Linked DNA regions of Kluyveromyces lactis. The protein of the gene in region 6 interacts with the protein of the main gene of each other region in a pairwise test. Links are inferred from orthologs where the notes say so. Each region holds a gene or a part of one and is shown on either strand. Other genes may lie near its edges.

Evidence for each region.
Region 1: the proteins of CSL4 (region 6) and RRP46 interact in binary tests that used the Saccharomyces cerevisiae proteins (3 or more experiments, as listed by UniProt). The link is inferred for Kluyveromyces lactis from reciprocal best matches to the Saccharomyces cerevisiae genes CSL4 and RRP46.
Region 2: the proteins of CSL4 (region 6) and RRP45 interact in binary tests that used the Saccharomyces cerevisiae proteins (3 or more experiments, as listed by UniProt). The link is inferred for Kluyveromyces lactis from reciprocal best matches to the Saccharomyces cerevisiae genes CSL4 and RRP45.
Region 3: the proteins of CSL4 (region 6) and RRP42 interact in binary tests that used the Saccharomyces cerevisiae proteins (3 or more experiments, as listed by UniProt). The link is inferred for Kluyveromyces lactis from reciprocal best matches to the Saccharomyces cerevisiae genes CSL4 and RRP42.
Region 4: the proteins of CSL4 (region 6) and SKI6 interact in binary tests that used the Saccharomyces cerevisiae proteins (3 or more experiments, as listed by UniProt). The link is inferred for Kluyveromyces lactis from reciprocal best matches to the Saccharomyces cerevisiae genes CSL4 and SKI6.
Region 5: the proteins of CSL4 (region 6) and RRP4 interact in binary tests that used the Saccharomyces cerevisiae proteins (3 or more experiments, as listed by UniProt). The link is inferred for Kluyveromyces lactis from reciprocal best matches to the Saccharomyces cerevisiae genes CSL4 and RRP4.

Annotation. Positions count from the first base shown.
Region 1 is NC_006040.1:1,265,690-1,268,984, reverse strand, and holds RRP46 (exosome non-catalytic core subunit RRP46), read left to right. Parts: upstream 1-1,555; coding exon 1,556-2,233; downstream 2,234-3,295. Other genes in the region: thiamine transporter TPC1, read right to left, coding at 229-1,182; VAS1 (valine--tRNA ligase), read right to left, coding at 2,387-3,295. UniProt on the Saccharomyces cerevisiae protein: Non-catalytic component of the RNA exosome complex which has 3'->5' exoribonuclease activity and participates in a multitude of cellular RNA processing and degradation events.
Region 2 is NC_006039.1:952,066-955,875, forward strand, and holds RRP45 (exosome non-catalytic core subunit RRP45), read left to right. Parts: upstream 1-1,991; coding exon 1,992-2,909; downstream 2,910-3,810. Other genes in the region: DDE1 (Dde1p), read right to left, coding at 1-228; RNH202 (Rnh202p), read left to right, coding at 637-1,650; KLLA0_C11121g (uncharacterized protein), read right to left, coding at 3,134-3,511. UniProt on the Saccharomyces cerevisiae protein: Non-catalytic component of the RNA exosome complex which has 3'->5' exoribonuclease activity and participates in a multitude of cellular RNA processing and degradation events.
Region 3 is NC_006041.1:823,191-826,614, forward strand, and holds RRP42 (exosome non-catalytic core subunit RRP42), read right to left. Parts: upstream 1,949-3,424; coding exon 1,154-1,948; downstream 1-1,153. Other genes in the region: TRM3 (tRNA (guanosine(18)-2'-O)-methyltransferase), read left to right, coding at 1-1,098; RRT6 (Rrt6p), read right to left, coding at 2,343-3,116. UniProt on the Saccharomyces cerevisiae protein: Non-catalytic component of the RNA exosome complex which has 3'->5' exoribonuclease activity and participates in a multitude of cellular RNA processing and degradation events.
Region 4 is NC_006040.1:812,860-816,477, forward strand, and holds SKI6 (exosome non-catalytic core subunit SKI6), read right to left. Parts: upstream 1,652-3,618; coding exon 914-1,651; downstream 1-913. Other genes in the region: FYV8 (Fyv8p), read left to right, coding at 1-837; GPI14 (glycosylphosphatidylinositol-alpha 1,4 mannosyltransferase I), read right to left, coding at 1,970-3,178; KLLA0_D09669g (uncharacterized protein), read left to right, coding at 3,484-3,618. UniProt on the Saccharomyces cerevisiae protein: Non-catalytic component of the RNA exosome complex which has 3'->5' exoribonuclease activity and participates in a multitude of cellular RNA processing and degradation events.
Region 5 is NC_006041.1:1,129,634-1,133,856, reverse strand, and holds RRP4 (exosome non-catalytic core subunit RRP4), read left to right. Parts: upstream 1-2,158; coding exon 2,159-3,472; downstream 3,473-4,223. Other genes in the region: TRM5 (tRNA (guanine) methyltransferase), read right to left, coding at 622-2,130; OMS1 (putative RNA methyltransferase), read right to left, coding at 3,570-4,223. UniProt on the Saccharomyces cerevisiae protein: Non-catalytic component of the RNA exosome complex which has 3'->5' exoribonuclease activity and participates in a multitude of cellular RNA processing and degradation events.
Region 6 is NC_006040.1:1,658,953-1,662,762, reverse strand, and holds CSL4 (exosome non-catalytic core subunit CSL4), read left to right. Parts: upstream 1-1,750; coding exon 1,751-2,644; downstream 2,645-3,810. Other genes in the region: BNI4 (Bni4p), read left to right, coding at 1-1,434.

The DNA.
Region 1 (3,295 bases), about 390 kb from region 6:
TTGCAGCTAGAAGTGGCGCCGTACCGACTGGTTTTGTCGTCTCTTTTTCTCTTTTGCATCAGCCATCGGTAAGTTGCTTTGATTCGTTTGGAAGTTATCATTAAATGATTCTGATATTGATCACGTGACTTATACACAGTAGGATATTCCTCTACATCAACTATATACTGGAGGTAAACACGCTCTCTGTAACATCCTCCGTTGGTATGAGATATATCCACAGTTGTCCTATGGAGATCTCCCCCAGCGCTGTCCGTGATCAAAGAGATCCATTGTGCGTTCATACACGAAAAGACTGATTGCTGTCGTTGGAACAGATTTACATAGTCCCATTGTAAGTCCTCGGTACAACGCTGATACACCCTCCTGTCTTAGTATCTTGTAAATAATTGCAGTGGATGATTTATACCTGTACTCGTGGTAAACAGCAGGGAATTTGGTGAAATGAACTGTTCTCTTAGAGTTCATCACTTGCATTCTGCGACGTAAAGTGTCAATGGGGAACACCATCGTCTTGGATACAAACCCTGCGATGATCCCTGAACTAGCACTTACAGGTCGCGACCAGAATTCTTTCTCGTGGTTTTCACAGACTATATTCACGGTCTCATATGTGAGAAACATGATAGCCGTGGATAAAGTAACCGTTGTCATCGCAGTGGATATTCCAGTGAAAAAACCTCGTACACCTTCATTGAGCCACATTTGTCGGCACTCCTCTGCGACACTGGTCCGATGGCTCGTTCTGTTTGCTATAAGTCTTGTCCGAAGCAAATCTAGCGGGTAAGATACCACTGAACTAGTCATTCCTGCCAACGCTCCGACCGTTAGCGTTTGTCCCTGCTGTGAAAACCGAGGGAACTTCGCAGACCAAACGTTGTTGAACCACGAGTAAGATCCGAATTGTACTGCACCGTAAACAACGTACATCGCCGTCGCCGGGATGTTTCCTTTCCATAACGCTCGAAGTCCTTCTTCTTTCATTATAGTTCTCACAGTAGATGCAATTCCCTTATATTTGTCCTCTTGTACCGGTTGTAACTGATATCGTATTTTTACAGTATCCATTGGTGCAGTTGCCATCCTAGCAAATACCCCAGAAACAGAACCAGCAATCACTGAATTGTACCATGATACCGTTTCACCTTTCCTGAGATGGTCTTTCCTTATGCCAGTGTTCATTCTCTCTTCGTCATTAAATAAATCCCTCTCTCTTGATGGATTGAAGATTCACTGAATGCTGGTCTCTCGCTCCCTTCTCAGAACTTAAATGAAGCCAGACCTACACACAATCTCCTTATTTATAAATTACCACATACATGCCCTGCTAAAAGGGTCTCTGGCACATCAATTGCATTGCATCTCCAACCTCTTAGTTTCATATCTATTCATTGCGTATCCTAAAAGTGAAAAATTTCTGAATTTGAAGCTCATCTCATCTCATCCTGACATAACATTCAAAAGATGGGGAAAGAGGGACTGTAGTGGCTCATTACCGTCTATACCGACTGCGTATTGATTGTTATATTGTACCTATAGTAATTTTCTAGCCAAGATGGAGACTACGACGCATGTTTTGGGCCATGTTGATGGCTCTTCTGTTGTTTCAAACAGCGGAACTAAAGTTATCTGTTCTGTTTCGGGACCCATGGAACCTAAGTCTAGGCAAGAGTTGCCCACACAACTTGCATTAGAGATCATCGTGAAGCCTGCTGAAGGCGTACAGAGTACGAGGGAAAAGTTAATGGAAGATCAGATCCGTTCTGTGTTGACCCCAGTGCTTGCGAGATACTTGCATCCACGTCAATTTGTGCAGATATGTCTCCAAGTATTAGAAGCGGGAGAAAGCAGGGATTATACTGTGAAAGAAGTCAGTGTATGTGTTAACGCAGCGGTGCTCGCATTGGTGGATGCTGGTGTACCGTTACTCAGTATGTGTTCTGGTACTTGTATTGGTATTACCACTGAAGGGAAGCAGCTGGTGGTGAACCCAACAGAATCGCAGCTAGCTAAATGTGAATCGGTCCACGTATACTGTCTAGAGCTGGGCACGAATGAGAACGGGGATATAGATGTCAGGAACCTGCTTCTTCTTGATAGTTTAGGCAGCTTTGACGAGTCACAGTTGTTTAAAGTGTTAGAAACAGGTGAGAAAGAGTGTATACGGTTATACACAGAGTTGAGATCAGTGATCAAGGATAAAGTCGCCAAAGATTTCGTCTGGAGACAGTAGTGGGTATACCTGCACCCATGGTTCTTTATAAATTAACTTTATAATTAACGTTATCATCTTTATATACAATTTATATATATTTGCATTTATATAATTCGCATTAGCAGCGGCAGAGAGAGTAATCTAATCTATTGGACAAATAACAAAACAATTCTACAACTTCAATGCTTCCAAGTTAGCGATGGTAGCTTCCAAGGTTTCGATTTCAGCGGCAGCGTGCTCTGATCTTTCTTTGTTGAATTGCTTCACTTGGTCATTGGCCTTTTGTTCATAATCGCTGCTGTTGACAATCTTATCAATGGCAGATTTAGACTTCAAAGTCTTGTCTAGCTTCTTTTGGACCTTGGAGATTTCTGCATCGATATCGACGTGACCCTTCACAAGCACATGCACGTTAACTTCTGGGTTGACAGATTGTAGCACACAACCTTGTGGGATATCAGCAGCAGATTTCACAACGGAAACTTCATCGATTGCCTTAATCAAAGAGACGATAGAATCTTTTTGAGATTGGACAGTGGAGTAGTATGATTCATTAGCAGATTCAACAAACACCTTACCGTTTTTCAAGATGTTATATTGTGCCAACAAGGAACGAGCATCCTTTGTGACGTTTAAGATTAGCTCGTATTCCTTAGCAGCGCTTGGATTGTGGAATTCTTCCTTGAAAGTTGGGTATGAGCTCTTAACGATAGTTGGAGAAGTTTCGCTGGCGTATCTTGGTAGATGTTGCCACATTTCTTCAGAGATGAAAGGCATGAATGGATGGATCATTTTCAATGCATTGTCGATCAAGATATATAAGGTATCCTTAGCAGACTTTTGTTGAACTTCTGTACCTTCTTGAATCAAGTACTTGGAGTTCTCAATGTAAACATCACAGACCAAATACCAGAATTCATAGATGGCTGAGGTGGAGTTCAAGAAGTCACGCTTTTCAAATGCTTCGTTGACATTCTTGGCAGTTTCAGTCAATTCGTGCAAGATCCATTTTTCAACTAAGGATTCATTGCCAGAAAGAGCTTCAGAAGCTGGTGGTTTATAGTCATCTCCCAATCTCAA
Region 2 (3,810 bases), on a different chromosome or scaffold from region 6:
TAGGTTTAAACCTGTAGTCAATGGAAAAGAAGCTGGGACTAATAGGTTTCTGTAAATAGCAGTTTCATGTTCCTTTCTTACGGACTCAACATTTGATTGTGCGTTCAGCGAAATTGTATGTAGATCTCTTTTGGAGTCAATAATAACCGAATTGATAAACCAAACAGTACTAGCGACGATTACCAAGATAGCAACCAAGTATTTTGAGAAGGTGATCCAGTCCACCATCTTTTGGGAGTGAGTTTACCAACAGCTGTTATTTTATGTAATTACGCGCCGTGCATTTTACTTTGCGTAAACTTCTTCAGTAATTTCAAGTTCCGATATGAATCAGTGTATATATATATATATAATATTTCAGATCCATAAACGAGGAAGAATTGTCAGTTAAACAAAAGTGAAATCTCATAACAAAGCAAATTACATGCCCCTTCCTTTTTGTAGCTGTTCGCTGTATTAAGTGTGCAATAGATTCAGAACGACAGCCGCAGCACACAATTGCGTACATTCATCCAATACTTGGTATATTCCACTGACATTTACAACATTTAACGTGAACGAAACGCGTAAAAAGCATTGTTAACTATCCTAATTAACGATCAAACAACAATCCCCAGCTACATTTCCTTAGTGAATATGACTGTTGAGAAGGTAATAAGGAAAGGATGTCTATTGGTAGCTTTGCCAAATTCAGTGGATTCTCCTGTCGAAATATTTGAACTTCCACATCCATCGAATAACGAATCAAAGAAACCTATCAAACTGTTTGTACACGACGATAAAGTATACCAGCTTAAAATCAAAAAGTTCAGTAAAGGCTGTGACTATAATTGCTCGCGAGATTTAGTGAATGATAAATATCATTATACTTCAGATTCGCAAACATTTAAATCCACATTTTTGATCAATGAAGAGAACAGGAAAGATGGACACATACTAGAAGATGGTTCGATACTATATGCCGAAAAATATGACTTAACTTTTAATATATGTGGGTATTATTATAGGAACAACAAAGTTACTAGTGAGGATCTAGCGTTTATTACACCTTGCGTTCCACCCGCACTCGATATGGATACTAACTTTTATACTAGTTCTGATTACCAAGAGAAATTAACGAATAATCACAGTGAAAATTGGGAGAAGATACCTCCAAAATTATGGGAAAGTTGTCTCGGGAAAATATCACATACAGTGGAAGAAGCTGGTGACAAGTATTATCGTATCGAACCTCAAATGATAGTAGAATGGCTACTGAAGAAAGTCATCAAAATCAACAACAACTTCCCTACTTCTCTTAAAATACCAAAATCGCTACCTGAAGATATAGCATCATCTCTGAAATGCATAATGTCGTGTAATCTTCTAGTTTCCTTGATCCCACAACTCGCATACCAGGATCTAATTAGACATGAATCTTCAAATCTTAACATCAAACAATGTTTCGACTCATACGACAAGTACAAGAACGAAACATTACAAACAGAAAGGGAAAGAGAGCTCCTTATCAAAGCTGCTATGTCTACAGCCATTCCAAATGGCACAAAAACCGTAAAGAAACAACCTATTCAAAAGGCTAAAGTTGTGAAACCAAAGGTTGCTAAGGGTAAAGGAAGAATTGACGGATTCTTCAAAACTAACAAAACATAAGTAAGGGCATATAATAATTTCGTAGAAATATCAGTATTGGATAACCTCTATCATTTTGACCTAAAGCTTCACATAACATGCCGTTGTTGAGCTCTAAAATAATTGATCTTCTTCCACTTAATACCTGTCTACAGGGTCTTCCTCCTAGAGAAACTCGCATCAATTTTGTTTTTATTCCTTTTTCATCTTTCTATCATATCAAATGAGACAAAGCTTATGAAAGATTTAGAACTATAACACTTGAAAAGTTAAAGAGTTGCGATGAGCAGCACTGAAAGAGAAAACCATAGCCGAAGAGAGCTTGCATTCGCATATCAAAATAGTTAAATCGATAAGAGGTGATGGCAAAAGATATAGAGATCAGTAATGCTGAATCCAAATTTATCCTGGAAGCGTTAAAGCTTAAACAAAGATTAGATGGACGTTCATATGACCAATTCAGAGATGTGAAGATCGAAATAGGTGAAGCATACGGTGATGTGACTGTTACCATGGGTAACACAAAGGTACACTGTCGTATCAGCTGTGAAATTGCACAACCTTATGAAGATAGACCGTTTGAAGGACTTTTCCATATAAGTACCGAAACTACACCGATGGCAGGTGCTCAGTTTGAGAATGGGAACAATACTGGAGAAGAAGAGGTATTGATCAGTAGGATGATTGAGAAAGCTGTAAGACGATCAGGAGCATTAGATGTAGAAGGTTTATGCATAATAGCTGGCTCCAAATGTTGGTCTCTTAGAGCTGATGTTCACTTTTTAGATTGTGATGGTGGACTAATCGATGCCAGTTGCATTGCTGTAATGGCTGGGTTACTTCATTTTAAGAAGCCCGACGTTACTGTTCTTGGTGAAAGAGTGACGGTACATCCGATTGATGAAAGAGAACCTGTGTCACTAGGTGTTTTGCATGTTCCAATTTGTGTGACGTTTTCATTCTTCAATCCAGACGATACAGAAGAAAATATCAAAGGTGAGGACAATGCAGAAATATCAATCATCGATGCTTCCTTAAAAGAGGAGCTATTGAGAGATGGTGTGCTTACTGTGACGCTTAATAAAAACAGAGAAGTTGTTCAAATCTCCAAAGCAGGTGGTTTGCCGATGGAAGCTTTGTCGTTGATTGATTGTTGTCATAAAGCATACGGAATTGTAGAAAAAATCACTGATCAAATTCATCGTGTTGTGAAACAAGATACCATTGCAAGAAACCAATACGCACACATTTTGAGCTCTGAAAATGCTCGTGAAACTTAAGGAGCATTGTATCGAAGAACTGGAAGCTTTTCTTCAATTATAGATTAATGCTTATGGTTGTACCATATCCCAAGACACTTGGCAGCTAGAAGTCGTTTAATCCATGCCGTTCAGCGCGTTTGATATTGTTCTGTACTATATGTTGTATGTATGAATATACAAATAATGTATCTGTTTGGTGGATATATGAGAGTGTATGCTGTGAATATCTTAGCGATAGTGAATCAAATATAAAGTCTGGTCATGTCTCTTTCTGTTGAGGAAGTCACTGATTCTTCCCGAGCGTTAAACTTTACAATATGTATTAAATTTGGATATCTGTTCAAGTCGTTCTTTTCAAATTCGAATCCGTTTCGTGAATTAAGTTCGGGATACAAATCTCGTTCATCCAACATCATCATGTGTTTGTCAATAGAAATTTGTGTCTCTGGTGCAGAATTCAAGTACCGCTCTTCTGCCGCCAAAATGTTCTTCGAATTAGCCCAGTATGTTACTGTACAGTATATTATGAATAATAGCACGATACTAACAACAACAAATAGAATGTAGTAGCCGCATATGTACAATATTGGATTATTCCGTTGATCCCATAAATGTGACATTATAATCAATTCACCACAAATATGTCCCAAAATCCATCAATTCGAATAAAGCCTTGAGTGTTTGGAAATTCAACTCCAGTGATCAGGAAGAGTTAATACAATCTGGTATTAGTTGGTATGTACTTTTCACATCGGGTTCTACTTACCTGAATTTAATAATTTATCGATTTATTGTGACACATGACAGAGGTCGGTGATATAGAATATATTGTTCTTAAAGAAACGAGAAAACAAGTTGAAACGGACTGATGTATGACTTTTACTGCAATGAATAGGGGCAAGTTGCGAATACCTATCAA
Region 3 (3,424 bases), on a different chromosome or scaffold from region 6:
CATAAAAATCCAAATGAGGACTTTCTGTTCAAACTTTTAGAAGACACCTCTCGTCCTGTTTTACAAGCAAGTGTTGAACGTTTGTTATTCTTATCTTTGAAGGCAGCGAAGGAGACAGGTCATTTTTTCAGGCCAATGGAAAGATTTGTCGCACAACTGATAACTAATTGCTCCTCAAACAAACCATTAATTAGACATTTCTCTAATTCCCTCATTCTTTTGTTTTGGCCAACCTTTGAAGATGACATCAAAGATAATATTTTGCGATCCATTATTTCTAAGCTATACAGCGATGCTAAGAAGATCCAAGTACAAGGTCAATTCAGAGCCGGTGACGCAAACACTTGGAGCATCAATAACGACCTTAAGTTAACAAGTATATTTGGCGGCGTATTATTGAAAATTATGGATCATAAAGTTCCATATATAAATAGTAAGATATTCAAAGCCATTAACATCGATGACGGTGAATTTGAAATAGGATCGGAAGAGAGTGAACTATGGTTGACCAAAAGAAGTAGTAATCTAGTAAATTCAACTGAGTTAGCAAAAAACTCGCCCCTACAAACGAAGAGTGGTGCTTGGGAAGCTGTCTTGGATTTCGATAATCAAAAATCCATTGAGTCTGTTGCACGATCTGAATTAATTGTCGTAGCTTCATTAGTGGATAAAGCACCCAATCTCGGAGGTATTTGTAGACTCTGTGACGTGTTGGGTGTCGGTACTATGACAATTCATGATATTAGAGTCAAACAGCATCCTCAATTCAAAAATGTTGCGGTTACAGCGGACCGCTGGATGCCTATTGAAGAAGTTCCTGTCGATGGTATAATATCTTACATGAATGCAAAGAAGTTGGAAGGATATACGTTAATTGGATTGGAGCAGACTGATTCTTCCATTCAACTGAATTCTGAATTTAAATTTCCATCAAAATCTGTCATTTTACTAGGAACAGAAGCTCATGGTATTCCAGGGCATTTGTTAAAGGAGTTGGATTTATGCTTAGAAATCAAACAATCTGGGGTAATAAGATCCATGAATATCCAAACTGCAACAGCTGTTATCGTTCATTCGTACTCGATCCAGCATTTATAGATATGCATTTATAATAAACACCCTGAAAAGTACCTATTTACTATTTAAATGTTCCTTAATCTGAAGCATCCAAAGCTTTTTCAATATGTGGTGCGTATTGACGAATTAACTTGAACGCTTGTTCTAAATGATGCTGACTGAACCCTTTGATATTATCGTTATTCAAGCCAACAGATCTTATCGGAGAAGTAACCTTATCTTTGTACCACGTAATTAGAAGGCCATTGTTCGATACTATGCTCTCTTCAAAAGTTGGATCCACAAAAACACCGTCTCCTACAATTGCGAACGTAAACAATAAAGGAGCATCTGCCTCTAGCTTAACCATATCGTAATCATGGAATGTGGGTAGCTCCTCCACTTCTAAGTCATCGTCGTTCGATATTAGTTTCGGTAGCCATGTGTTTTTCAAAGCGCTGAAAATGGCGAAAGATATCATTGAGATCGGGTATGATTTGGAGGCAAGCACCAAAACGTCAATGTAAAGTTTGAAACTGTACCTTTTCGTGAGCATTAGCTTTTTCTGATCAATAGTTTGTTTGAGCAATTTGGATAATAGTGAAGACATGCTGGTAACCAATGGAGAGTCATCTCTGTGGCCTTGGATGTCGACATCAGCAACAAGCAATTCTTGTTCTACCGTATGGTCCACGACTTTAGTTTTTACACTCACTATACACTCGCTTCCTCCGCTTAATATCACACGGCTGGATCCATTAGAATTGGGAAGGAAATCAGTAGATACTTCCAATGGTCTAAATTGATGTGGACCTCTTCCATCCGGTCTTAATGGGGGATCTAATGTTAGAGAATCGTATAGGAACGATTTTTCAGTTAACGAAAGTCCCATTATCTTCTTATATTATTTGATTTTTTTTTTAACGAGATGGGTCTGCTTCGTGAGAAGATAACTCGCTTTAAACTCAGATGTTTCTATTGCTGTTGATAGAAGGGAAATAAGCCTTTTCTCATCATCTCATTGCATCTCATCTCAAGCTCATATAAGTCAATACTGAAATTAGTTCAGATTTTTCATTTCTTCTTTTCGCTAATGCACATTAATATTCGGTGTTACCCGGATATAATTGGCCATTAGTGAGATGTTCTGTCAGGTGTCAGTCACGGTTCGAAGTACTAACATACGATGAATGCTGACTGACTGATATTGAAGTTGTACTGATACAGGGTGCTGATGTTTAATATATATACAAATACATCAACTGTTTTATGGACATAATTATTCCTTATCTTTTGATTTTATTTTTGTTCTTGGTCGGTTGCCCTTTGCTAACGATTCTATACAGTAAGATTGGAAATACCAGCAAATGACATACTCCAATGATGCAGAATAATATTGTGACTTTTGCCAGTAGATAAGAGAACGTTGATTCGTTGAGATTTCTATGATCGACATCTAAAGCATGCAATTCCTGGCCAGAATCCGCACTGACCAACGAAAACAGGTCATCTCTACCCTGGGATAACAAATTGAGATCATCATCAGTAATCAAATCCCACTTCTGTTTCTGAATCAGATCATTAGACGTGATGCTAATTGCTACTTGCTTCACACTATCTATGGCATTCCATGAGGAGTCTAATGAAAAGTTGATAAGGCATATTTGGAAATTCTGATGTTCGTATACGCTCACGTAAAGCACAGTTTCCCCATTCTCTAAACCATGTCTTGACTGTACCAAATTTTGGTCTTCGTCATAAATATCCATGTTGACAACCTGTTTTCCCTTTGAACTCGTAGTTGGACCAAACCTATCCACATTAACTTTCCATTTAGTAAATTCTTCAATTTCAATGAGGAATTGTAAATCCTTGGCCTTAATATTCGTATTCATTTCGAAACAAGTTTGATAACTAGACGCGTCACTCGAGCCGTCAACTTCCCATTTTTTATATGGCCACAAATCGAATTCTAATCGATTTGGGTTTATCGGCAGTTTAAGGGTCTCCGAGACAACTGAACATATCAGTAAAAGGACATATATCAACGATATCACCATTTAAACAAAAAGAACAAAAAAATTACTAGCTGGAACGAAATGAACTGGGTATAATAACAAACGAAAAGACCACAATCTAATTACTGAAGCGAAAGCTGTGGATTAGACCCAAAAAAAAAATTTTGTCTGGCCGAATAAGAACACAAAAAGATATTGACAACACGTATGAAGCACTGAGAAACAACCTTAAAGGGAAAAAAAGAATTGTTTCGATTTGAATTGAACCTGATGCTTTATAGATGGAGACCAATCATTAACCCAGGCAGTTCCCACTTTTCCAACCGAATAATTGCTGTCAAAACGACTCT
Region 4 (3,618 bases), about 850 kb from region 6:
CTAGGCAAGTGGAAACCAGACACCGATGCATTCCGATCTGGTTTTGTTACTGAGACCATCGATATCAACAATCCTCCCGAAGGATACACCGTAAATGAGGACGGGGAAATTGTTGAAGTGAACAAAAACACAACATCCAATATTCAACGCAATTCATCGGTAGCATCAGACGGAGAAAGTCAATTTAATGCTTTTCCACATGACGTTGCATCAGATGATGACGACCTCAAGACGATTGCTGACACTAAAACAATTTATGACAATCAAACCATATATAACGTTCCTGCTCTGATTGCCAATAATGCATCTGCTCCGGCTCTCCCTACGAACATACAAATTACCAATGAATCTACTGACTACGTTTCTAGTAACGATACTATATTCAAACACGTGAACGGTGAAGCTCCAAAAGGTGAATCAAAATTAAAAGAAGCATTCAGTTCTGAAGGAGATGAAATTCCATCAGTGGTTCACCAGTCAACTGTCCCGAATCTAGACTTGGTCAAGCTTTTAAGCAGTAATGAGCTTCACTCCCAAAAACTAAAAAAATTAAACAATTACAAGGAACAATTAAAAGAATATGACTCCGGACTCCAGAGCTGGATCCAATATGCTTTGAAGTCTTCTACCACATCTGATAAGGATTTTATCTTCAAAGACTACAAAGTCAATAAACATGTTCAAGATGCTTATGCTCAAGCGGATATTTTGAGTAAAAAGAACAGCGTCGCAAATACGGTGAACCAAAATGTTACACATTTGAAGAAGAAGATGTTTTCTAGCAGCATGAGAGAAAAATCTAAGGGGTTATTCTCATCTATAGGTAAAAAATTGTAGTTAAAGGCAAGATCCGAATTGTAGAATGCATTTATGTTTACATGTTATGTGAAGTTTATAATTAATGGTTTAAAAATCAATTCGAAGAGTTTTCAACTCTTGTTTTTCCATGCTTTCTAAGCTCCTTATCCATTAAATCTCTAATTCTGTGAGTGCCTGCTATTCCGATGGCCATGACACTCTCAAGTCTATCCAAAGGCACTTTATCTTCCACCATTAATAAAGATAATTTTTCTGATTTACCAATTGTGCCTATGGTAACACTGCTCATTGCATTTTCCTCAAGCGAGTTAAGGTCTAGTAGTGGTGTAGTATCATAAAGTCCCACTGAAACCCCGCTTACAAAATCATACATTGCGATACCAGCATCTATCAGAGCCAATGTTATTCCATTAAGCATTGCCCCAAGAATCCCACCATCTAACTGTAGAGCATGAACTTGAACGTCAATTGACGTACGAGGATAGAGATGAAGCATCAAGTTCTTTTCAAATGTACGCACTAACGAAGCTTGCCATTCTAAGGTTCTTCTTTCATTCTTATGGCTTGATTTGCTTCTTTCCATCTTGGCAAACTTCGTTAAGTTAATAGTAACGGATAAAGTAGCTTGTTTCGTATTGACTTGTGACCTCGAGGATGGTTCTTGAGGACCAGCAACTAATGTGATAATCTTATTGTTACCTTGTTCCAAGTACGAGGATCCATCTGCAGCATTCGGGTGAGTGTTGATGGAACAGTTGAAACTTCTTAGCTCATTCCAACGACGACCATCGACACGCAATCCCTCTGGAGAATATATTTCAAAACGTGACATTATGTTACTCTGTTAGTTAAAGTGGGTTTTCCTACACGCTAGCTGGAGGGGCTAATTTCAATCTGACAGCCTCTGCTTTGAATGTACTTCTTCTAGTAGATGTCGATGAGCTCATATTTCACTTGTAAGATTCAAAACTTGAATACTTTTTTTTTTTCAAATTCTATTTCAATAATCAGTATGAAGAAAACAGCAGCGAGTGAATCTGACAACGGATATGAAATTGGATGAACGGAATGGAACATCAAAATACTCGTCAGGACTTCGATCGTGGCTTTGAAAATGTCACAGTACGCTACAGTATATGCTAAGTTAAAATTATATATTCTTCTTATGTTGATTGTCTTGGAATGACGTTCTGGATTTGATGTCAGTGATAAAGACACCGAGTAGATAGACGTTGATGAGGAAAAACACTATATTGCCAAAGAATAAGTTGGGGAAAAATACATTTTGGCCTTTGAATTCAAGTAGATATGCTTGTGAAAGCCATACGGCTTGAGACAATATCCATAAAAATATACAGACCACACCTTTTCTCCATGTAATGGTTGTATTTGCGAAATAAAATGGGGATAATACCAAATACCAAATGAAATATTGAGAAGTGCATACTTTATTGAAAGTAACGAATGCGTATGTTTGTACGAATAGGACATTCATTAAATTTTCGAACGTCTGTGATTTCCACAATAGATAAGGTAGTACTGCACATAGTGTCAATTGAGGAACGAATGCCAGCTTAGATAGTTCGATAGATTGGGAAAGATGAATACCAGCAGATTCTAAGAGTAAGACCAGGTTCCAAATCGAAAAATTGTGTCTGTGGTCTGTTCTCGTGAGATGGTACATGTACGAGTGTTCGATAAATTCGCTCCCGTAAAGCTTGTACATGAAATACGTCGGCGCAGTTATGCCGATTAGCGTCGATATCCCTATCATGAACAATCGCCAAATGCAGTTTCTATTGTGACTCGACAACAAGAGATATATTCCGATCGGTAGCGCATAGATTATCGGATAGATCTTGAAATGAATCGATAACCCATAGAAAAGTCCTGAAATAAGTAACCTGTCTCTTTTCAAAAAGTATAAAGCACATATGATCAAAAAACATAAAACCGATTCAGCGTTTCCTCGAGTACTTATCGTTATAACAATCGGGTTCAATAACCAAATAGAAGCTAGAATTAGCTGTTTTGTCAATTGACATGAACCTTGTAATAGTTTTATGATCATCACACCTGTAATGAGATCAAATAAAACAAAGAAGACTTTCCCCATATGAATCCACTTTAGATAATAATTGGGTAGTAACAAGAAGCTCAATAAAGGTGTGTACCTGTATGTATCACGCAAATAAGGGGATTGTCCATTGTTAACGTAACCAGCTGCATCATGAAAGACAAAGTAATCGATATCAGTATATTTAACGTCAAAATGCGAGTCTTGGAAAATACCGTAAGAAAAGAATCCAATTCGAAGTAGTAAAGAGACTGTTAATAATAAGATTACTTTTCTATGCATTTCCTGTTAGTAAAATGGCGGGCTTCAAGCAAGCAAGCAGTCGTTATGATCTTCAGATATGATTTTATTGTTCGAAATGTGGTTCCCCAAGGTTGGTATGTAATGCCAAAATCATGGCATTATGTTGAAAAAGTACAATTTAAATATAAAGTCACTTAAAGGTTTCTCGGAGAATCAAAGATGATTATAAGTAAGATGGGAAACCGATGAAGAGAACACCTAAATCGTCAAGGAGCGCAGTTGGTTTGAAAGTTTTGCCTACTTTTCACTAGGATCCACCAAAGTGGAACTATTTTAATTAAATCATGGAGAATAAGGAGGAAGCCACCGAGCTCTCTTATGATGAGTTGATGGATATCATTGTTAATAACAAACCAGTCCCAAACGTAGTGGATGTCCCAGATATCATACTAGACCAATCTTTGGCTACAGAGCATCAC
Region 5 (4,223 bases), on a different chromosome or scaffold from region 6:
GTATCTGTTTTGTATCTGTTTTGTTTGTGAAGGACAAGTGTATCTTTGCCGTATTTCAACAGAGAATCCTTGAAGATCTCTTTGCTGATACTTTATCTGAGAGATAGAAAACCGCTTCAATAGTAGTATAATCTGACTGCTAGAAGACCTCGATAATGGACACTAAATGCCTTCTTATATATGTATCTCAAACTTGGACAAAACCCTCGAGAGTGATAACAGAGAACGGATGACGCACAGAAAAAAGTGATCAGTAGAATCCCAAAACTTATAACTGCCAACTCTTAACCAGCCACAGTGTACAGACCTTGCTCCGTAACCCTGAAATACCAAAGGAATGAGTAACCGAACGTCCACTCCCTGTCTCGTTGCTTTCCCAAGAGAAGGTTAGTCATTCTGAAGGCTGCATCTTTCAATTTCTGTTGCCTCGAGGGCGAGACATGGAAATGACTCACAGATGGCAACATCTGGTCACGTGGACAGAGTAAAGACAAACGGATGATAAAAGAGATGGACTGAGGGACACTGGGCCAGTGACTTGTTTTGGTGACTGTTTTCTGCAATCATGAGAGTCACTGGTATGTTGCATTCTATTTACATTGCAATTATGTATCAAGATAGTTAGATAAAGGCTAGTGACTGTGGTAGTTGGAAACTAACACAGAACATTGGTTTCGTTGGAGCGACTTTTCTCACTAAGTGGAACTGGAACTGGTTGAACGGAAGCTCTTGCTCAGTGGTCTTCATTATTTGTAGTATTTGTTGGTAGACCCTTTCGTGTAGTTGTTCCATGGATGGTTCTGGTTGTTCTTCCGCATCGTATTTATGGAAACAATGACAATGGATCCATGGGGTTTGGAACTGTTCGCCGTGTTCTTGAACCATCTGTTCGTATGTGAACCCGTACCTTGAATATAATCCGACGAATTCATCAAGGAATTGAAGAGCACTGTCAGGTAAGTTCATCACGTAGTGATCGAAGAACTGGTTTTTGATTGGGATCTTGGTTTCAGGAGTACGTTTAGTTTCTCCCGTGACTTTATCCTTGTACTTCTTACCTCCTGGCACCGTGATGACTCCCTGTACCCTTTCGATGAATTGTTGTAGTAGCTTGGGACTATCTCTGATGAATTCGCGGCCATCGAGGTTCAATGGTTCAACGAAGTTACCCACCTTATTGTCGATGATATTTTGCTGCATGTACTTGTAAGATTCTGGGTTCAAATCGTTACTTAGAACGATGACCTTCTTCTTTCCTGCTGGAACTGAGAATGGCCCCACCCCAGCAAACACATCACCAACTATTTGGCCCGGTTTGAATAGACTCACTAACCTTGCATGTTCTGTATGTAGTCTTGAGTTCCAGTACACTTTACTGAAATCGAAAGTGAATGAACAATCAGATTCCCTTTGAGTCACTAGCAGGTTCGGTTCACCCGCTAGGACGTTCATTTCGAAAGTTCTGAATTTGGTAGCAATGGAATCCACTTTATCGACCACGGTCTTGATCGTCGAATTCTTGTCCAAGATGACTTGTCCAATTATTTCACCAAACGGTTTGAACTCTTTCCTTAAATTCAAATGAGCTACGTGTCCCACAATAGTGAACCCAGTAGGAATCTCAGCAAGGTACTCCTCTGGTAAAATTGCATTTAGAATCTCTTCCACTTTCCAGAAGTCATAATCTAGCACATACTCATGGTTTCTCAACTCATACTCTTGCTCATCAAGAAATTCTAGTGCATTGGAGGTCAACTTCCCTCTCGCCTGCGAAACATCTTGTATACTGTCTTTTAGTATGATACCTTTGGTTATATGGTTGTCATTGGCCAGGGATTTGCTTTTCTTCTGTACTGGCTCGACATCGTTCTTATCAGTATCTTCTTTTGGTGTTTCGCCAAGTCTTATAACGAATGGAATTCTTGGTGTCCTTAATATATCGTCCTTGAACTTCTTGGTGAAGACAGAAATATTCTTTGGATTCTTCAATAGCAATACAACAACAGGAAGCTTCTTTACGAATAATGATTTATCTAATTGTTTCATGCCACGATGCACTGGTGGTTCATATTTGAACGTAGTTTCAATAGCTCTACTCATTGTTCTTCGAAGCACTAGGCCAAACCTCATAAAACTAGTCCTCCTCTATCCTTGAAAAATGGAGCAAAATAGTGTGCTATCACTTCACCAAATAAAACGCTGCCTGACGGTCGATCTTTGCTGCAACATTTTTACATCTTTTACAACGCTCATCTCATCTCATCTCATCGCTCTCTTATTTAATTTGGAAAATTTTCAGTTAACTAACACCAAAAGTAACAAAGGTACAGCGAGGAAGTCAGCACATCGAACGCCTTCTGCAGTCCCTGACATCGTTATATCATTACTTGGAACAATGAGTGATGTTATTAGTGTTATCAATAGGAACGAATTTTGGTCTAATGGCCGTTTAGAACAGGATGAATATGAATCAGATTCCAGCTCAGGTTCAGAGCAAGAACATGACATTGAGATGAGCGGTGCTCACGATTCCAATGGTGGAATAGACCATCAGGATGGGTCTATTGTCACACCTGGTGAATTAATAACCGATGATCCTATATGGATGAAGGGTCATGGTACTTATTTCTTGGAAAACAAGACATACAGTTCTGTGGTTGGCACAGTATCGAGAGTGAATAGATTGCTATCCGTTTTACCATTAAAATCTCGTTATATTCCCGAAACAGGTGACCACATCGTGGGTAGAATCACTGATGTTGGTAATAGAAGGTGGAAAGTGGATATTGGAGCCAAACAGTATGCGGTTTTGATGTTGGGTTCTGTTAATTTACCAGGTGGTGTATTGAGACGTAAGTCAGAGACAGATGAGTTGCAAATGAGAAACTTCTTGAAAGAAGGTGATCTACTAAACGCTGAAGTCCAATCGTTGTTCCAAGACGGTTCAGCTTCATTACATACCAGATCGTTGAAATATGGGAAACTAAGGAATGGTACGTTTGTTCAAGTCCCAAGTTCCCTAATAGTGAGATCTAAAAATCATACACATAATCTTCCAGGGAATGTCACCATTATCTTGGGTGTAAATGGGTTCGTATGGATAAGGAAATCCTCCAAGATGGATCTTTCCGGTAAGACCACTACTACAGGTTCAGGACAATCTGACCATTTACCAGGATCCAACAATGCAATGTCGGTTTCCATTACAAGATTGGAAGAAGAGAGTTCTTGGGAAATATATTCGGATAAAAATGATACTGTTACTGTAAGCGTTAGGCAAACAATCACAAGATATGCAAACGTAATTAAGGCGTTAGCACATTGCGAACTCGGTATCACTGAGCCAAGAATAATATCCGCATATGAGGCTTCAATGGCTTATGGTAACTTGGGACAGTTAATTGAATCGGAGACGATGGAGTCCTTAGGTCAAGACGTCATCAACTCAGAGAAGATGAGGGGAGCAGCATAGGTTGTAATCGGTAATATTAATATTTACATGAAGTAGTATTTTATAAATAAAGTGCATAATATTTACAAATAATAAAATCTTTTCGATAAGAGTACCATCATTTGGATGTCTCAGATGTTGGTTTATTATGGGTAGCTTGTAGCGAGTCTTGCTTCTTTCCATCGTTTGTGAAAGATTCAATTCTGCTCTTAACACTAGCACCAAGATACTTTTCAAAGAAGCCAATTTCTTCTTTCTTCTTACCGTCACCTTTACGCTTGGCAACAATACACCATGTCGTACCGAAATGTGTTCTTCTTTCTTCGACGACATCCAATCCAGAATCGTCAAGGATTTCTCCGATATCCAAGTTCCATCTACAACCCCATGTCTTTAAACGTTTCTCAGCTCTATCGTCAAGAATTTTGTTGATTGTATCGTATGAACCTCTTCCGTGTTCCAAGAGAATGATTCTACCGCCAGGTTTCAACAATTCAGCAAAATTCTTCAAAGATTTTACAGGATCGTGATGTGAACAAAGACCAAACGCTTCAACAATAGTATCATACTTAACAGGTGTCTCCTTCGAGTTCAAGTCGATCAAATCTTCCGCTTTCCCTACAACAAATGCACATTTCTTGAAATTGGGTAGTGCTTCTCTGAATTTTTTATTTGTGATTTCCATCATCTTTTCCGATGCATCCAAGAATGTGATTGAGTTGATCTTCGTTGGGTCTAAATATTTGATATTCCTACCAGTACCACAAGCGAC
Region 6 (3,810 bases):
AGTGATAATGTGGTCGTGGAACGACATACAGAATCCCAGATCCTTCCAAAGAACAATACACGACCACAGAAGGTCTTCCAAAAGCGTAAGCCAACGCCCCTAAATTTTGTGAAAGATGTGCCTGAATTAACTACAGAGGATAAATTCCCAAGAGATGTTTTTCCAAAGTCACTCGACGTATCAGAGGTTGAGTCAATTGTCTCTCTTGAAAGGTCCAGATCTATGAAATCAAATCAACGAAACTCAATGTCTTCTCTACGTACCAGATCATTGAGTGATCACATTTCACTCAATGCCAAAATGGAAGGAATGTTCATTACCGAAGCTACAAGAACATCTTTCGCAACCCCGGATTTAACGAAATCTCCGGTGAGCAGTATTCTGCGCAGCGGAAAGTTTGAAACTACGTCTGATGAAAAAATATCCGCCAGTTCTGATTTGGACAATAGTCATGGTACTCGAAGTGCAAGTTTCACAATTTCACCACAACAGAGAGATTTTTCTTTTGGTTCCATAGAGCAAAAGTTAAACGAGCTGACAATGGAATCTGATCAAGAAGATCAACTAGAAAAACCATTGGTGCAGAATAAGGCAACTAAATCTAGTCTTGAAGATTCAGATAATGAAGACAACGAATTAATCTCAGATATCATGGAATTTGCAAGTATAATAGACTTTGGACAAGATATCGAGTTAAATTTTGATCTCTATTCTGACAATCGTTCACACTATGAAACTCTAAATCCGGTCAAAGAATCTGTGAAAAACTCTCTATCCAAGCCCAGCTTCAATACTGAGACAGAAAACTCATTTCTTGTGGAACTTACTAACTCCCCAGAAATTAAGACAAACAGTTCAGTACTCAACCAAAAACAGACTGGTTTGGATGATCAGAAACACATATCAAGTACTATAAAAACAAGAGACACATCACCAGAAAATGTTAGCAGTAGCAACCAAAACACTTTTTCTGATAGCAGTTTATATTTTGATAATTATGATGAGGAAGATTTTGAGAACGAAGATTTTAATGGCATACATGCAGTAAAAGAATCCCCAAAGATCAACGCATTTTTACCAGATATCACAACATCGATGAGCAGGCCTATATCGATGTCTTTTAGGGGTTTGAAAGCGCCACAATTCAACAGTACCATGGAACTTTCAGGGCTTACGGGACTTGAACATATCTCAGATCAGATGTCGAAGAAATCGGAAGAAAGATCTAGCTATGCAGCAAAACTTGTTAAGTTTTCCTCTCAAATAGTCCTTTATGAGACCTATGGTGAACTTGAGTATGATAGGCATCCTGATTCGGCAACATGCAATCAACTTACTCCTCAATTGGCCCAAATGATAAAGGACGAGCTGAATGAGCTTAAAGCAGAAATGGACATTCACGAAGATTCTATGTGCAACACTCACTTCTTTTAGTAGACCTATAAATACATGTAATCATAGTAGTTAAATCATTTACCATGCGTTTCTATGTTTCCCTTTATATGGATTCAAATCGTGCACGTAGCTTTCGTGTTGAGCCCGCTTTGAAAGCTTTGGTAATATTACCCTACTATTTGAAAATAATTCTAACTTGTCTTCAACATCTCCCAAATTTTGAAAATTGTTTCACTCATTATGAAAATGATAAAAAAAGAGCTGCTTTATGCGATGAGCTAACAGTAATACCAAACTAGCTTAAATATGGCCTGTAAGATAATAAGAGTGTTTGATAACAGTAAGGTTTGTCTATATGCATCGTTATAAAATGAAGCCTTTTAAAAATTTCCCCCAGACTGTTATACCCGGTGATCTTATATGTCCAATATTTGATGTTGATGATGATAACAAGCAAGAAGTGGTAATACGCTTCCTAACGGGCACTGGCTGTAAACAGGAGAATTTTAGAGTTAACGGCAAGAACGTTGATATTATCGTAGCCACATTAAAAGGTTCTGTATCTGTGGAAGAAGTTCCAGCAGATATTATCGAAGACGACGATCAAGAAGACTCAGAGAATACGACGTTTGTAGAATCTCATGAGACCACCGGAGGGGATGCAAGCTCTGGCAATAGTAGAGTTATAAAAAGTTTCAAAGTATCAGTATCAAATCCTAGCAAGTTTGCTAGCAAGTATGTTGATGACCAGTTTGTCAATAACCTTCCGCAAGAGGGCGATATCGTACTGGCGAGGGTGACCAGAATCAGTTTGCAAAGAATAACAGTTGAGATTTTAGCAGTTGAGAATTCGCCCTTGCCGATCGACTCTGGTGTCGGAAGCAATGGGACTGGCATAATTGCTGCTGCTGGTGGATCTGGTGCGTCTACGTTTTCCGTTTCGCAAGTGTCCGCGGATTTGGGAGAAACTTTTAGGGGCATAATTAGATCCCAAGATGTAAGGGCCACTGATAGAGATAGAGTAAAAGTTATGGAAAGTTTTAAACCTGGGGATATAATACGTGCTCAAGTGCTCTCACTTGGCGATGGTACCCATTACTATTTAACTACAGCAAGGAATGACTTGGGCGTGGTGTTCGCTAAGTCTTCTAACGGAGCTGGAGAACAGATGTATGCAATTGATTGGCAGACAATGATTTCACCAAAGACCGGAGTCGCTGAGAAACGAAAATGTGCAAAGCCCTTCTAATATAGTCGGAACACAACAAGCTTTTTGTTCAAGTCTATAGGTACCTTCACATACATACATTTACAACTTTCATTTACATTTACATTAGTTTCGTATTAGGCTTCACGCATATTGGGAATATTGAGGAAGTTTCTACTAAGATCATTGTGAATTCAACGCCTGAATATCATATGTTATTATCAGAAAAGTTAGTTGGACTTTTAGTTGATTGGGAATTTCAACTCATCGTGGTCACCTCTTAAATCATATTCACTCAGTCCAACTTTTTTTCCGAACTTCTCAAATCTTTGTAGATAATGCTTTCTCTTCTTCTCTGCAATTTGAGTTAGGACAGGCCAATAGGCTTCATGATTATATTTGAAGTCGAGGTTACCACCATAAAGCGTCTCGAGTTGATCAGGTGGCACATAATTTGGAAATGGTTCATCAAAAACCAATTTTTCACGAGTCAACGGATCAATAAAAGGATGGATGAGCTTCAAAAAGGTCCACGCAAGCCACGGGATATTAGTTAATAATGCTTTCCCTAATCTTTCTGGATAATGTGTTTGTAAAATGTGTAAAACCTCTTTACCGGTCCCTAAAGGAGGAATCTTTGAGTTACCTTGAACCTTTGGAACATCAGGATAATCTTTGAAATCTATCAACAAAGCCAATGAATCTTGCCCAGGAGGCATGAAATCAATAACACGTTCAAGCATATATACAAGGTGCTGGACTTGTCTATGGGAGGTTGCTGTGTTTTGCCTACCAGGCTTTAAGTACAATATAGGCCTTGAATCGTTATCGAAACCCAAAACAACTTCCTTCCCAGTCAGAGCCTCCGGTGATACAGTGTCAGCAGTTACAAATCACCATTTTCTTCTCCAAAACTACTTATTCCAAATTCTCTTCTCCAAGCAAGAGAGAGTACAATTCTATCGATACAATCTTGCGTATTCCACTTGGTGGCCCTTAAATATCTCATAAAACATTCTCTACTCAACCAAGCTTTTTCCAAATCAGTCAATGGTTTCATCTCATTGTCACTATGATTTTTTTTCTCTTTAGTTGGAATTAGTAAATCAGTATCAGTGAAATGTGAAAATACAGTGTTATATTTCTTCAATTGTTCGTCTTCTAAAACGATTGGTTCAGGGTGTTTCACTGCGTCTGGAGGTGATTCG